Linked DNA regions of Pelodiscus sinensis. The protein of the gene in region 1 purifies or fractionates together with the protein of each later gene. This does not show direct contact. Links are inferred from orthologs where the notes say so. Each region holds a gene or a part of one and is shown on either strand. Other genes may lie near its edges.

What was found. The genes of interacting proteins can lie anywhere in the genome.
Region 2: the proteins of NUP107 (region 1) and TPR fractionate together in Homo sapiens (co-fractionation; 4 studies listed by BioGRID and IntAct, with this or other methods). This does not show direct contact. The link is inferred for Pelodiscus sinensis from reciprocal best matches to the Homo sapiens genes NUP107 and TPR.

The regions. Positions count from the first base shown.
Region 1 is NC_134711.1:63,435,171-63,442,239, reverse strand, and holds the start of NUP107 (nuclear pore complex protein Nup107), read right to left. Parts: upstream 3,005-7,069; 5' UTR 2,849-3,004; coding exon 2,811-2,848; intron 2,494-2,810; exon of another isoform or gene 2,345-2,493; intron 1,009-2,344; coding exon 923-1,008; exon of another isoform or gene 879-922; intron 1-878. UniProt on the Homo sapiens protein: Plays a role in the nuclear pore complex (NPC) assembly and/or maintenance. Required for the assembly of peripheral proteins into the NPC. May anchor NUP62 to the NPC. Involved in nephrogenesis.
Region 2 is NC_134719.1:54,932,203-54,939,877, reverse strand, and holds the start of TPR (nucleoprotein TPR), read right to left. Parts: upstream 3,017-7,675; 5' UTR 2,904-3,016; coding exon 2,753-2,903; intron 511-2,752; coding exon 406-510; intron 1-405. Other genes in the region: ODR4 (protein odr-4 homolog), read left to right, coding at 4,757-4,855.

The DNA.
Region 1 (7,069 bases):
GACCATATCAATGTGAGGGTTTTTTGTTTTTGCTTATCACGCGTGTGGCCCCCCAACCTATTTTTCTGAGGGTCTGAAAACCCCCAAAAAGGTTCCCCACCCATGCATCACAGCATCTTAAGAAATCCTTAAGATATCACAGGGAATGTCCACTTAGTCCACTAAATTTACCAAGGCTAAGAGATAATTCCTGTTAAAGAAGCCTGAAATATTTACCTGAGATTTAATAGCTAGAGGACTAAGGCTAAACCTACTAAACAGAGGCGGATAGTGAAGATGAGCATGCATACGAAGGGAAACTCACCATAAGGGATCTAGGAAGGTATTAGTACATCAGCCTTTGGCTAGAATATATCTGCTTTATCTGATATTTCATCCCTCACTGAAAGAAAAAGAACTTTCTATATCTGCTCTCTAATTACACAAGTCTGCTAATTGCTTGGGGGAGGGGAACAGGGAGAAGTATTCTCTGCTCCTCAACCATTTCCTCAATTTGTTTTGTGGTTCCCTCCTACTCAATACATAATTCCAGTGCATGAAGGCAAATCTAAAAGCAAACCAGCATGGAACTGACATGATTCCTGTCAAATTCCCTGCTGCTCTTTGGAATAGCGAAAAGGGTCAGCATCTTGTTAGTTTTATTCTGTTGTAGTCAGAGAGCTACCAGCAACAGCAGACATGTTGGGCTCCTTTACTCTCAGTGTCAAATTTTTAAAGTACACATTAATGTAACTTGTGACTTCAAATGTGTATTAAATTAAAGGAATAAGTTTTGCAATATTCTTCAACTGACAATTCAATTTTTGGAAAGTCTTCATTTACTGAACCCCAAATCAAGAAAAGTTAACTGTGGCATGAAGCAATCACAACTTTTATACCTTTTAAAACAGGACAGAAAAAAAGCTTGACAGAAAAAGGATACTAGAAACTCTTTTTTTAGAGCTCTGTTTCCGAGCAGGCCTGGTCACCTCTATATCTGGTGAGGATGACATTTCTCCAAATTCATTCCTACAAAACAGGAACACAGTTGCTACAGTTAAACACATTCAGATGACGTTTCCTAAAAGAATCAGAAGTGTAGCAAGTAACTGGATGGTACTAAATACAAAACCCAATTAAAAAAAGAAACTAACAACAAAAACTTAAAACTGAAATACCAAATACTAATATCTATCCAGAAATAGCCTTTATTGAAAAAAAAAGTCTTGTGGAATACTGGATTCTCATAATGCTGTGGAAGCTACAACCATTAGTCAGAATACTTTTGAGAATGTTGTGCAAGAGCCTTAATATGCTACATTTATGCAAAGGATTTGTTTAATCTATTTCTTATGTAAATATGTTCCATATTAGAAGCTACAGACAGAACACTTGGTAACTTCAGTTGTTTTAGACTAGGGATGTAAAATCCTAACCAGTTGGTTAACTGTTAAACATAATGTTTAACTGCTTACCCCTTTTAAGGTGGGACCACTCCAGCCTGTCTGCAAACCTTGTGTGTAACCGCTGAAATTTTCAGCAGTTACACAGTTACTTAATTACACGCATTTTAACAATTCTAGTGCACATAAAATTCATTCCACACATACGTGAAAAAAATTAGAAGGAAGTGCGTGCTATTATAAATTTGTAGGGCAGACCTGCCCTAAGCTGCCGTGAACCCTTTCTGTAATGTTATTTTAAATCAGATGCTAGCCTTTTCCATAGTCAAAATTAGACTGGCAAAAGTGAATATTTGCCTGAAATTCCAAATCCTGCTAATCTTCCAGTGTTAGATTTTTCTCTGGGAGAACGAGGAGTACAGGCTCTTTCAAAAGGTTCCCCCCACACTCCCAAAAGAACCGCCTCTAGACGGTGCTTTCACTTTCAAAAAACCCTTTTTCAAAAAAGCACTCAGACACCATTATGCAAATGAAGTGCAGGATATTTAAATTCCCACTTCATTTGCACTTTTGATTTGCCTAAATTACATACCTCTTTCGACAGAGGGATGTAGATTAGACATACCCATACAGAGGTAATATGTCCTCTGTGCTCCTACTTGGTATCCCCCCTACAAGGACTGCATTTGCCCTTTTAAATAAATTAAAAACACATTAAAATGTTCAATTAATTATCACTTATGATTCTTAAGTCCTCTCAGAGTCCCTGATTTCCAGAACACAAATCCCAATTTTTCTAGTGTGACCTATACCCTTGGTCCTAAATATAAGACATTGCATTTAGCTGTATTAAAACATGTAACAAGATGCAAAGACTTGAAGTTGAAACAAGACAAATTCAGAGTAGAAATATCTCCATTGTTAAAAAAAGTGAGTGGTATGTGACCATCAGAACAATTTACCAAGGAGATTTGTGCACAAAACAGCCACAGATAGTTGAATCTGCACCATGGAAGATTTAAAAATCAAGACTGGCTATTCCTCATCAAAAAGACATGCTCTAGCTCGACGGGAGCCACTGGCCTGGCAGCAGCAAGAATTACTGTGAAGAAGTGTCAGAGGTAGTTTAAGTCTAACTTGCCTGGACACTCATTAATGGATCTCAAAGTCACCATATTATTTCAAACCAATTTCAAAAGCCAGCTCAAGAGCAGAGCTACAAAACTTATTTTCATTTACAAGTTTGATTCTTACCACGTTCCACATCCTAATGATAAAAACCAAACAAAGGGTACTTAAAATGAGTACTAAATACTCTTACCAGCTTCATGCAGCATGGACACTCTAATTGTCAATTCCTCCCTCCCTTTTTTCTCCTCCTCTCCCCCCCCCATTCCCTTCTCTGTGCTGTTTGAAAACTAGACCCACCCCTTAAACTCCACTGAGCTGTGCGCCCGATAGCTCATGACACCTCCCACATGTTTTGACAGGCGCTAAGGTGCTGCAGGACGCTAGGTTGTTTTTGGAGAAGCCCTGCGGCCCGAGTGACGCGGGAGGGCAGGCAGAGGAGCACAGCAGCCCTTTCCGCTCGGGCCTGGTCAAACCCCCCCCCCCCCGCCCGCATTCACCGCTCTGCCCGGCCCCGCTCCTTACGGCTCCGGCTCTATTTGCCGCCACTCCCGAGAGAGCCGCAGGGGGGCGGGTCTCTCTGCAAGGGCCCCAAGAGCCTATTCCCGCCGCTCGAGAGCCTCAGGGGAGCGCCAGGCCGCGGAGCCGGTGGGGGGAGGGGAGACTTGGGGGTCCCGGCTCGGGCCTTGGCTCCCTCCGGGCCAGGCCGGCCACTATCCCGAGCCCCGCTAGGCTGCCGCGCTCACCTCTCCATGGCCCGGACCCGGAAGCGCGTGCGTTCCTCGAACCGGAAGTTGAACGAGGCCGCCCGATTTGACGGGGAAAGGGCGCGCTTACATTGCGCAGGCGCGTGGCGGCTGCCCGGAGCTCGCAGCCCAAAGGGATCGAGGAAGGCAGCGCGCGCCGCCGCGCTGGGATTGCGCGCGCAGTCCTGCCGCAGAGATCCTGGCGCCTGCTGCTCTCACAGCCCCGCCGGCTTCCCCTCCGCCGCGTGGGAGCTGCCCGCTCGCCAGGCTCTCGGGCTTGCCTGGGCAAGGCGCGCTCCTGTTGGTTTCAGCACAGGACCTGATCTTGGATGAATGATTCCCTGCGAATGCTCGGGCCATGTGGACACTGGGAGATAAGGGAGACTCTATGATGGTCGGTCTCTGGTCACCGGTTCTGCAAAGTCCAGAGGTCCGCGTGCTCGCCGTGGGGAAGATTTGGATGTAGTCGGAACTACCTGCCCCCGTCAGGGACTCCGCCGTCCACTCGGAGCACGATGCACCGTGTAGCTTTGTATTCTGGTCTCTGCTCTGGGTGCCCGCTGTGATCAAAACTGTGCAACTGGTGGTTATGGGTTGATGTCAGCATCCCATCATAGGCTTGTCTAGTCCCTGCCCATGAGATCAGGGCGAAGCAGTCTGTTCCCACCTTTTTCTGCACTGATTTCCCATGCAGATGCCATAGCAGTGCGAGCATGGTTTACAACAAACCATAGTGATGCTGATGTGTGCCGTGGGGCACCTAATGATGTGCGCAGTAATGGCAGATTGGCCACCTGGTTTCCTTGGAGTGCGGCCAACAGTAGTGGCAGTTTCTCAGCTCCTAGCTTTCACTCAACTGCTTCTCTTTGGCCTTTGAGGGAAGCATGAGACAAGGTGCTGGGAGCAGCCCTTCGTTATCCTTTTGCACAGGTGGAATGAAGGTTTTTTTTTCCATAAGCAGTGAAAATAACGTTTCTTATTTACTGTTGTGTCCCCTGAGGAGGGGCTCAGGGCAGAGGAAAGGGGGAGGTGTGATATGACAATGCTCCTAAGAATTGAAAGTGGGGTGCAGTGTAGGGGGCTCAGCAGGCGGTGGCACTGTTGTGGAAGATAGCAGGAGCTTGGGGCAGGGGGAGGAGGCTGGTTGTGAGAGGGTCCAGGAGTCAGGGTTGGAGGATGTGGGGGATGCAGAAGTCAGGGCAATGGGGGTAGGGGGAGGAGAGTGTAGGTGTGATTACAGGGGGGTCAATGGCACTGAGGCATATCTCCCAAAGGATTGCTATGGCCTGGGGAAGGTCAGTGTCAAGGTCTCAATCCTATAAAAACATTCAAAATGGCCAGTGTCTCAGAGCTGGTGACAACCAATGTCCTGAAGAAAAGGTTAGGAAGGGCCTACAGAAACTAGAAGTTATTGCCAGACCATAGGAATTATTGCTGGGGGCTCAAGTCAATCAGGCTATGACCAGATACAGGATAGTATGCACTGGAATTACAGAATGTAAATGTGGCTGCACTGCTAGAGATGGGTTCAGGTAATAAGTGGATTAGAGATGTAAGCAACTAGTCGAGTCACTACTCCACTAGTTGCTTCCTCCCCCCTTGCTGCCTCTATATGAGGCGGGGGGGAAGAAGGGAGGCCAGGGGGGGGAAGAACAGGAACCAGTGCTGGGGGGAGCTGGCTTAAAAACCGTCTCCCCGCAGTACCATCTATGGGGGGGAGCAAGGGGGGCGGAGGCGAATCGGGGAAAACAGCAAGTGCGGGGACTCAAGTAGTGCCCACTTGCACCGGGTCTGACTGCTGCACTTCAGCCTTTTAAGTGTAGCAAGAACCCCATACTGCCTGAGTTCCCACTTGCCCCAAGTTCCCCACTGCCCCTCTGCCTTTTAAATGTAGCAAGAGTCCCTCGGGGCTCTTGCTACGTTTAAAAAGTGGAGGCGCAGTAGTTGGAACCCTCTACTGTACCTCTGCCTTTAGATGTAGTAAGAACCCTGCAGAGCTTTTGCTACATTTAAAAGGCAATGGCGCAGCTGGGATTGCAAGCGCCCCCTCCTCCCCCCATTGCTTATCAACCAATTGAGTACTCGGAAAATCCACTGAGTACTAGATTAGCTGATTAGTCAAAATGTAATATCCCTACAGTGGATAAATGACACTTAGTTCAAAAGAAGAGAAAGTCATCTTTGCACCTTCTGAAGCAGCAAAAAAAGCAGGCAAATAGATTTCTTGCTAGTCTGAATGAGCTAGAGGAGGAGGTTATGGATTGTAAATTTATGTTGAGCAAAATGATCACATCCCAACACAAGCCACTGGTACAGTTTCAACTGACAAATGGTCCTGGCATGATCTTTGTGCCAGTGAGACATGAACAAGGATACAGAGACTGTGTGGGGTACTGTTGATAAGTTTAGGGAAAGAGCGGAAAGGTTTGAGGCAAAAGGTACACAAATTGTAACAGCAGAATTAGAGTGGTCTATCTAAGAATGTTTTGATCTGAAGTTAAACAGCTGGGGAGACCAGTGTCTCATGAAAAAATAGTTTAACAAGCAAAGAAAAAAGACCTCTTTGGAAGAACACATGGCCACATATAGAACTTCCAAGCAAGCAGCCAGTCAGGAACCCTAAATTTAGATAAGCTCTATGAGATCAACAACTACTCTCAAAAAAAATATGCAGTCATATGAACAAGGAAAAAAAAAGGAAGGAAGGGAGGGAACATACCATTCATAAATATAGGGAGCAGACCTCTTGTGATAGAAGACTTGTAAGTAACAGTGAAAACACTGTGATATACTTAAGATATGCTACACTACCGTAATGTGAACCAATTATTATGGATGTTGATCTCTGAGATGTCCAGGCTGCAGTGCAGATGATGTTACCTGGAAAAGCAACAGGACTCAACAAAGTCACAACAGAAACCATCAGAGCCTTGAGAGAGGTTGGCAAATGCTGATTCATGTGAGTCCTGTATGCAAATTGAAGAGAGAAGAAAATCCCAACAGAGTGGAGACTAATTGGTACTAATGTACAAATAAAAATGTGACACATAGGGCCAGAGTACCAAGGAATTAAGCTATCATCCCACTGCATGAAACTGTCCAAAAGAGCCAAATAGTTGAGTGCTTTAGTTTTAGAAAAGTAAAAATTACGATAGATGGTGTAGTCATTGCTAGACAGCTGGTCGAAAAGAAGCTGGAGGGAAACATAGCATGGCTGGGTTTGCCTCAATTGGGGGAACACGTCCAAGAAAGCACCTGAGTTGGCTGTTGGTGCCACTGCTACAATGCAATGGGGATAGTAGCGGATTTTGTCCATATGGTGATGGGTCTACTCCTAGGGGTTACAGAACTCAATGGCCTTTTCTTTATAACGGACAGACAAAGATGCTTGCAGAGTTTTTAAAACTATTAAGTCTAAAATGAAAATCCCAACAGAGTGGAAAATTATAAATAATGTAAAACAAATTATTATGGTAAGGGCTGGTGGCCACACAAGAATGGACTTCATTGTGCTAGACTCTGTACAGACACAGAATTTTGTTTGTGAGCTGGGATTTAAAGTATGGATATGAATATATACCCCTTTTCCACCCAAGAAGTTACCAGTTATTACAAGTTGTAAACTCTGTTAACCCCTCCCCCCCTTCTATTTTATCAACAACTCATTATGAAACCAAGTGAGCATTTCTGCAAGATATGAATACCTAAGAGTAATAATTCACATCTTAGTCTTCAGTTGGGGGCTAGAAAGCATTTTACAAATAAAGCCTCAAACACCTATGTGAGATAAGTAGACAAACCAAATTCAGTGTC
Region 2 (7,675 bases), on another chromosome or scaffold:
CCTGACCCTTATTGGTATAAAGCAGGGCTCGACAAATTATACAATCTACTCGCCTGTGGCAAGTATATTGTAACCCGGATGAGCTGGGTTCCAGCGACCTGCGCATGCGCAGATTGCCGGACAGCGTGGTTCGGCGAGCCCTGGATATAAGGGTACACTGCACACATTTGTTTGTAGAATCTTTTCTTGAATAAAATGAAATAAGATGTTTACTCCAGTAAAACAGACTGCATGTAGAAAGCAAGGATTTGAATAAAAAATATCAATTAACTTCTACGAAATGAAAGGTTAGAGTATTAAGCATTTCAAAATAACTTCAATAGATGTAATCATATGAGCAGAAAAATAACTTTCCAAACTGTTATTCAAGCATAAAACAGTTAATCAATGCATAGTTATACTTACTAAGTTTGTTTAGCTCCTGGCGGATTGTCTGACATTCCTGAGTCTCGTTTACAAGTCTCTCCTGACTTTGAGCCAGACGCTTTTCCACTTCAAAATACTGTTGTTCTGTACAACACCAACACATTATGTTAACATTACTTCATAATTAGTTTTTATTAGGGAACCATATCTACCAGAAAAATGCCAGAAATAATCCTTTCACTCCTGCTCCAGGCTCTACTGAAAACTTTAAGTGCAGTGCTACATTGCTAACTAAAGGTAGGACCTCTCTGCCAGATGCAGTCCCAGTGGTTGGGAGTGGGGGTCAGCCAGGACTCCAGAGGCAGAGTGGCCAACTGCTGGGAGTAGAGGCTGTCCGGGGCCAAAAGTGGACAGCCTCCACTGTCCCCCTAGGAATCTCAGTCTGGATTGAGCACTTGCTCTGGCTGGGGATAGCTCACGGGCCAGGAGACTGAGACCCCTGTTCTACAAACATCAGTATCTTTAATGTCATTTTACAAAGCAATAGAGTCACAGGGAAGTATCTTGCCCAAGGTTACCCACTGAGAGAGCCAGATATTAAATCCAGGTCTCCTGGTCCCACTCCTCCGTTCTAGACATTAAGATATGTTGCCTTTCCAACTGAGCCCAGGGTGATAGCAGTGATTTTATTGGTTAACTGGCCCTTGCCAGTGAACTCTGAGCTGGAGCAGCCCCAGTTGCAGAGAAGCCAGCAGGCTGAACAATGGGACCCCACAACATAAGTTATGGCGGCAGGACATAAGTTAAAACAGTTAAGTGCTAGTGTTTAACCAGTTAACTGATTTAACATCCCTAGGTGATAAAATCATATATAATCAATGTCATTGTCTCAAAAAAAATCTTAAGAGTTTAAGCAGGGAAGAGAGATAGGATAGCTCAGTGGTTTGAGCATTGGCCTGCTAAACCCAGGGCTGTGAACTCAATCCTTGAAAGGGCCATGTAGGGATCTGGGGCACATCTATCAGGGATGGTACTTGGGTCCTGCCCTGAGGGTAGGGGACTGAACTTGATCTCTCAAGGTCCCTTCCAGTTATATGAAATAGGTATATCTCCATATAATGCCAGAAGGAACTACCTTATAGTCCCAAAGCCTGGGTTGGATTACAGCACTCAGGAAGCCAAAGTGTTGCATAGGTGATAATTCAATCACCCTTTCAAAGTTTTGTTTCCAGCAACTGCAGATCATTCAGAAAGGTTAAAGTTTCAAAAACTGAGTTTACTGGAAGTGTTGCCGGATTGGGCTCCCTCAGAATATGTCTAGATTGAAAAAATAAAAAAACACCAAAACACAGCTGTTGAGTCTCAGAACCTGGGTTTATAAAACCAGACTCATACTATAGCATTAAAAATAGACGTATAGAAGTTCCCACTAGAACGTGGGCTCTGAAATCAATGCCCTCCTTAGGGCTCAGACCCAAAATGGGAATAGCTAAAACAAAAAACAGGACTATGTAGCACTTTAAAGACTAACAAGATGGTTTATTAGGTGATGAGCTTTCATGGGCCAGACCCACTTCCTCAGATCAATTTGCAGAAGATTGATCTGAGGAAGTGGGTCTGGCCCACAAAAGCTCATCACCTAATAAACTATCTCGTTAGTCTTTAAAGTGCTACATAGTCCTGTTTTTTGTTTTAGCTAGACCAGACTAACATGGCTGCATCTCTATCACTATTCCCAAATGGGAATATCTTCATAACTATTTTTAGTTCTGGGACACAAAGTGTGTAGACCCGGGCTCACAGAACCACTGTAGCAATGTTCTTTTTTGCAGTGTAGACCAAACAAAGCTCTTATACTCTTCCTCAAGCAACAGCCTAACTTAGGGAACAGATAGAGAATCTCACTCAATAAGTACATTCCCTTTCATTTTCAATTAATTTTAGGCGTTTAATGTAAAGCAATAACTTGTAACTTCACGCGAAGAGCAGCCTCTTATTGAGTTCTGCAAATATTGTTGACCAAGGCCTAAGTGGAGAAGGAGGGTTTAAAAGTCAAAGGAATCCACTTCCTAGAACACGTGTAATGCTCCCTCAGTGCCGCTACACAGCAGTGAAAGCCGTGGGGGACGTTTATACGCCTCTGTCCGCACCAGGAGAGCTGCCCACAGCGTTGCCTCTCGCGCTACCCCTTTGCTGCCAGGGTCTGTCACTAGCCAGTGGCCGCTGTCACAACTCGACACTCGGTTCCTGGTGCATTTCCGTGGCGGGCGGGAGAACCGTCCGCCCAAGCCCGGGGGCCGGCCCCCCTGCCTGGCAGCAGACTCAGGCCTGGTCCCAGGGACAGCAGCGTATCAACGTCTCCCCGGGCCCGGCTCCCGCCACTCACCGCTGTCCACTTTGAAGCGTTCGTGCCGGGCCCGGAGCCCGTCGATCTCGGTCTGCTGGTCGGCCAGGAAGCGCTCCAGCTTCCCCTGCACCGGCTTGGGCAGCTTGGCCAGCTCGGCCCGCTCCAGGACCTGCTGCAGCACCGCCGCCATCTTGGGAGGGAGCCGCTAACCTCGCTACCGCCTCCCGAGCAGCGCGCAGCCAGAGCTCGCCTCCCCGGCTCGCACAGAGCGCGCACAGTAGCCAACCGACCGCAGGCGCCACCGGAAGCGGAACTCGTGTGCGAAAGCTTCCGCAAGTCGCGTCCTGTCCGCCATGATGGGCGAGGCACTGCGGCCCGGGTGGGCAAGAAAGAGGCGCAGCGACCTCTGCCACACAGCACATGGCGGGCCCCGATGGGCGGCAACAACCAGCGCCCGACCTCCGGCGCTGAGAGTTTTCTCTCCTCGAATCATAGAACCTGAAAGAGACCTGAGGCGCAGTGATCCTACGTCATCAACCTGCGCCTTGAGAGCGGAGCGCAGCGCAGCCTGGTGATGTGCATCTGTGGGGACACCAGTAAGCTGTGGCCCTGGCTGGGAGGCTGACCTTGGTGGGGGAGGGGAAGCGTGTCTGAAGGCGCCGGGGGCCTGGCCGCGCGGAGGGGGAGAGCTGGTGGGGCAGAGGGAACATGGCCCCGGTCGGAGGTGCTGGCTCGCCGCCCGCGCGGGGGCTGCCCGAACGAGTGGATTCCGCCTGCTTGCACCTTGCAAGTCCTGGCGCCTGCCACGTCGCCTCTCAGCTCTTTGGTGTAGATCTCGCTCTCTCGCTCTCTCTCTCTTGATTTTACTGTGTCCCTTTGGAGTCGGGATGTAAGTGACTAGTTCACTGCCCGATAAGCCTAGGCTCCACTGGTACTCGACTGTCCTCCCCACCCCCCACCGCCTGATACAGAGTAGCAAAGGGAGGGGGGAAAGCTGGTGCTGAAGGGAGCTTAAAATCCAGTCCCCCCCAGCGCCCTCTCTGGTGTGGGGTGGGGGAGGAGAGACAGAGTCACAGTGGTCTGGAAGATGGGACTGCTCAGTTCCAGCTTTCACTGGGTCTCGGACTGCTGCACCTCTACCTTGTAAATGTAGTAGGGAGCCACCCAGCTCTTATTACATTTAAAAGGCAAAGCTGCAGCGGGGGTGGGTCTGGGACATGGCCTGAGCTGGGACTGCTCAGTCCCTCTTGCGCCAGGTCTGGGACGGTGCCCCTTATCAACTAATTGTGTGTTGATATAAATTGTGTCGACTATATGATTAGTCAATTACCTGCTTCTTAACATCCTTAGTTTGGAAGGAGTGAGTCAAATAGATTGAAGGATATGAGCCTGGCCGCCAGGGGAGAGAGAATCCCCCTATGCCCACCTCCTACATCTTGTGTTCAGGGATTTTTTAAAACAAACAAAACCCTGCAAATGGAAGGTGTAAGACAGGCCTGTTTGACAGACTTTTGTGGCTTAAAAAGCAAATCATGTCTGAAGAAGGGAATGAGCATGTTTAAAGAATGCAGTTATTGTGGACTGAGCCAGGACTAGTCTTTCATTTTTTTCTAGGCAGCAGTTATTTGCAGGTGATGTGATTATAGGCTAGAGATGGGAGTCTGACTGAGAATTGTGAATTCATGAGACAATAATTGGAGGTGAACATTAAGAGTTGAAGGTTGTTTCATAGGTCATTTGTAAATTATCGTTTCAAGACTTTAAATGAAGATATTTTATTTGATATGTCAGTTTCACAGTTATCACATTTAAAATACCTCTTTTTCATACAAGTATGTTAAGAATATACTTACCTATTCAGAGAGAGACTTTTAGAACTCAGTAAAATTATCAGTAACATATTAATATGCTCAGGGTGTTTTTCTGACACTTTATTTCTGTGTTCTTACTCTCCTATACCTTATGTTCTCGGACTAAGTACCTCTAAAAAGTAGATTAATATATTCTCTTTTTATAGATGGAAATTAGGCTAAACCTGCAGTAATGGGAAGAAGCTATTTTGTGGAAGAACCTGTTGGACAGTATCTTTCAGACTTCAGCACCAAGCCAAAGACTTGTGTCACAGGCTTGTTGATAGGACAGGTAACTGTTTAAATTGCTATATGAAAGTGAATAGGCTTTTGTGATGTGAATGTAACTCAGATTAACATGTTCATATAGGGCTTATTATCTATATTCAGCTGTAAAACCTTTTAAGTAGCCGATAGGCCCTGGGCAAGAGTGCAGCCCCAGAGGGGCTGGGGCAGAGAGGCTGGCGATGGGGAGCAGGGCTGAAGGAGAGCCTTGATCTCCCTGGGTCCGGCAAACTCCGAGGTTTGGGACTGCCCAGGTCACGAGGGTGCCCAACCAGAGAAGTCCCACCTGTAGAAGTTTCATGTGTGTTAAGGTGTTAGTAGAAATGAGATTGTGAAGATCATTTTAGTGTCACTTCTTTTATATATTTGTGAATGATTAACATAGCAAAATATGTTACCATTTTAATTTCTTCCTTTTTTGCCATTCCCAAAATTGATAATCTGTATTTTCATTGTTACCTTGTACTATTTGTATTGATTTTTTTCTCTGCCACAACCACGGGCTCCTGCAGAGCTGCCTCCCCCCTCCTCCCCCAGCACTGCTGCCTCTGAGGCAGTGAAGAAGGGGCAGGGAGTAGCAGGTGGGAGCCAGTGCTTGCGGTGCTTAAAAGATGGCTCCCTGCGAGTACTGGCTCCCGCCTGCTACTCCTGCATGTAAATGTGTAACTAATGAAAAATTTAACGGTTACACATTTACAGAATTAAATGTCTCAGAGGGGTAGCCATGTTGGTCTGTAACTGAAAATAATAATAATAGAAAAAACCAATGAATGGTCCTGCAGAACCTTAGAGACTAACAAAACATGTAGATAGTATCATGAGCTTTTGTGGGCACAACCCACTTCTTCAGATGAATGGAGCACGGGGTCCAGAGGTACAAATAAATGGCTAAATGCAGTGATGTTTTGCTAACATCCCTACTCAAAGCTGGGTTCTTGACTAGCTTATGATGGTGCTGACATCCTAATGCTTTTTATTTTGTCTTTTTAAGTTTGTGGGAAAATGGTATATTGGTTCTAGGGTAGATCTATATTGGTATAATGGGCTTTGACTGCAACTCATGTGGTCATACCCAAGCTTTAATTTAGCTAGCTCATGTACCAGAGCAGTGAAACTGACACTTAGGCTTTAGCAAAGGCTGACCACCCTACACATTTTCCACTCTGCTATGGCTTCACTGATGTGGTAGCTGAGTTAGCTAGGTTTAAGCTCAGGCATACCCACAGGGGTTACAGTTACACCCGATGATTGCAGCGCAGACGTATCTTTAATGCAAGGAATGTGTTTAGTTGAGCAATGGTATCCACTTCCTACTTTTTTTTTATGAATTGTGTTTTGAACAGCCTTTCAGCTAACTAGCTGAAGTGCTGAAAGATCAGGAAACTAAAGCACCGGTTCTCAAATTTTTTGGCCCATGGACTACCTGGCTCAATGCAAACCTTTCTGTAGACCACCAATTGCTAATGGAAACTCACTTGTAATTACATAAGTAACCCTGAGCCATTTTGCAAGTGCTGCAGCTAAAGAGAATGGTTTAATTTAAATTATTAAACAGATTAAGCATTTTAACTTTCTCATGTTAGTTTATCAAGCTTCATTTTAAATCAAGTAAAATATTAATTTATGTCCAACACATAATGTGTTCTTTGTGTATGGCAGGGGTGGGGAACCTTTTTAGGGTCAGAGACCACTGACCCACAGAAAAATCAGCTGAGGACCACACAAATAAAAAAGCAAAAAAAACTCCTTCCAAAGCCCCCAACCCACACTGATGTGGCCCGCAACTGAGACAACTCACTCCATTGGTGCTCCAACCCCATGGAGCGAGGGGAAGGGACAGCGAGGATTGAGGTTCAGGGCTTCCCATAGGCTAGATTTACTTTTCTGGGGTTCCAGAATTAGTAGGTTTTGTGGAAACCTAAGGCTCTGGGGTGGGGGCAAAAATGAGAGGTGCAGTGCATGGGACAGGGCTGCCAGTGAGTGGGATAGGGATGGGGATGCTGGATCGGGGTGGGAGTGAGAGGGCTGGATGGGAGGTAGAAGCAGGCTGGGGGTAGGGTGTCTGGACAGGGGGAGGAAGCAAGAGCAAGGGAGGGTGCAGGAGCAAGGGAAGATGTAGGAGAAAGCTGGGGGTGCAGGGTCTTGGTGGGGGGAGAGAAGCAAGTGAGGGGAATTGCAGTGCAGGGGTCTTAGTATGAGGGGACATGCTTACCTGACTTTGTGCCCCATTGCAGTGGGGAAAGCCTCTGGGTAGCACATCATTGTGTTGCCCGCTCCTTCCTGGCCAGCGAGTGGCTCCTGGGCTCCCGACTGCCATGACTTTCCAGTTTGTTCGTTATGCTTATAAGAAGCACACGGGATCTTTTTCAGGGAAAAGGCAATACACCGTGTTTATTGAGAATACAGCAGAGAAGCAGTTAGCATATGCTTTATAAGGACACATGCAGATGCATACGCACGCACGTCCTGCAGATGGTGCATAGTTACTGGTCCATGGTGGCTCAAGTCAGTTTTACTGGCCAGGCAAAGCTGACTGAGTGAGGAGTTGGGGTTCTTCTGAGGCTTGTCTTGCAGGACTGAACCCAGAGTCCCATGGTAAGAGCTTCCCTTCTTATACATGTAAATTCCCAGTTAGGTCTATAGATATTTCAGTAGGTGTGTCTAGACTACGTGTCTCCATCGAAGGAGCCATGTAGATTTGTTTAGTCGGCAAAGGGAAATGAAGCGGCAGCCATTTAAATTTAAATGAAGCAGCAATTATTTAAATCGCTGCTTCATTTCCCTTTGCCTACAACCCTAATCTATGTAGTCTAGACATGCCCAAAGT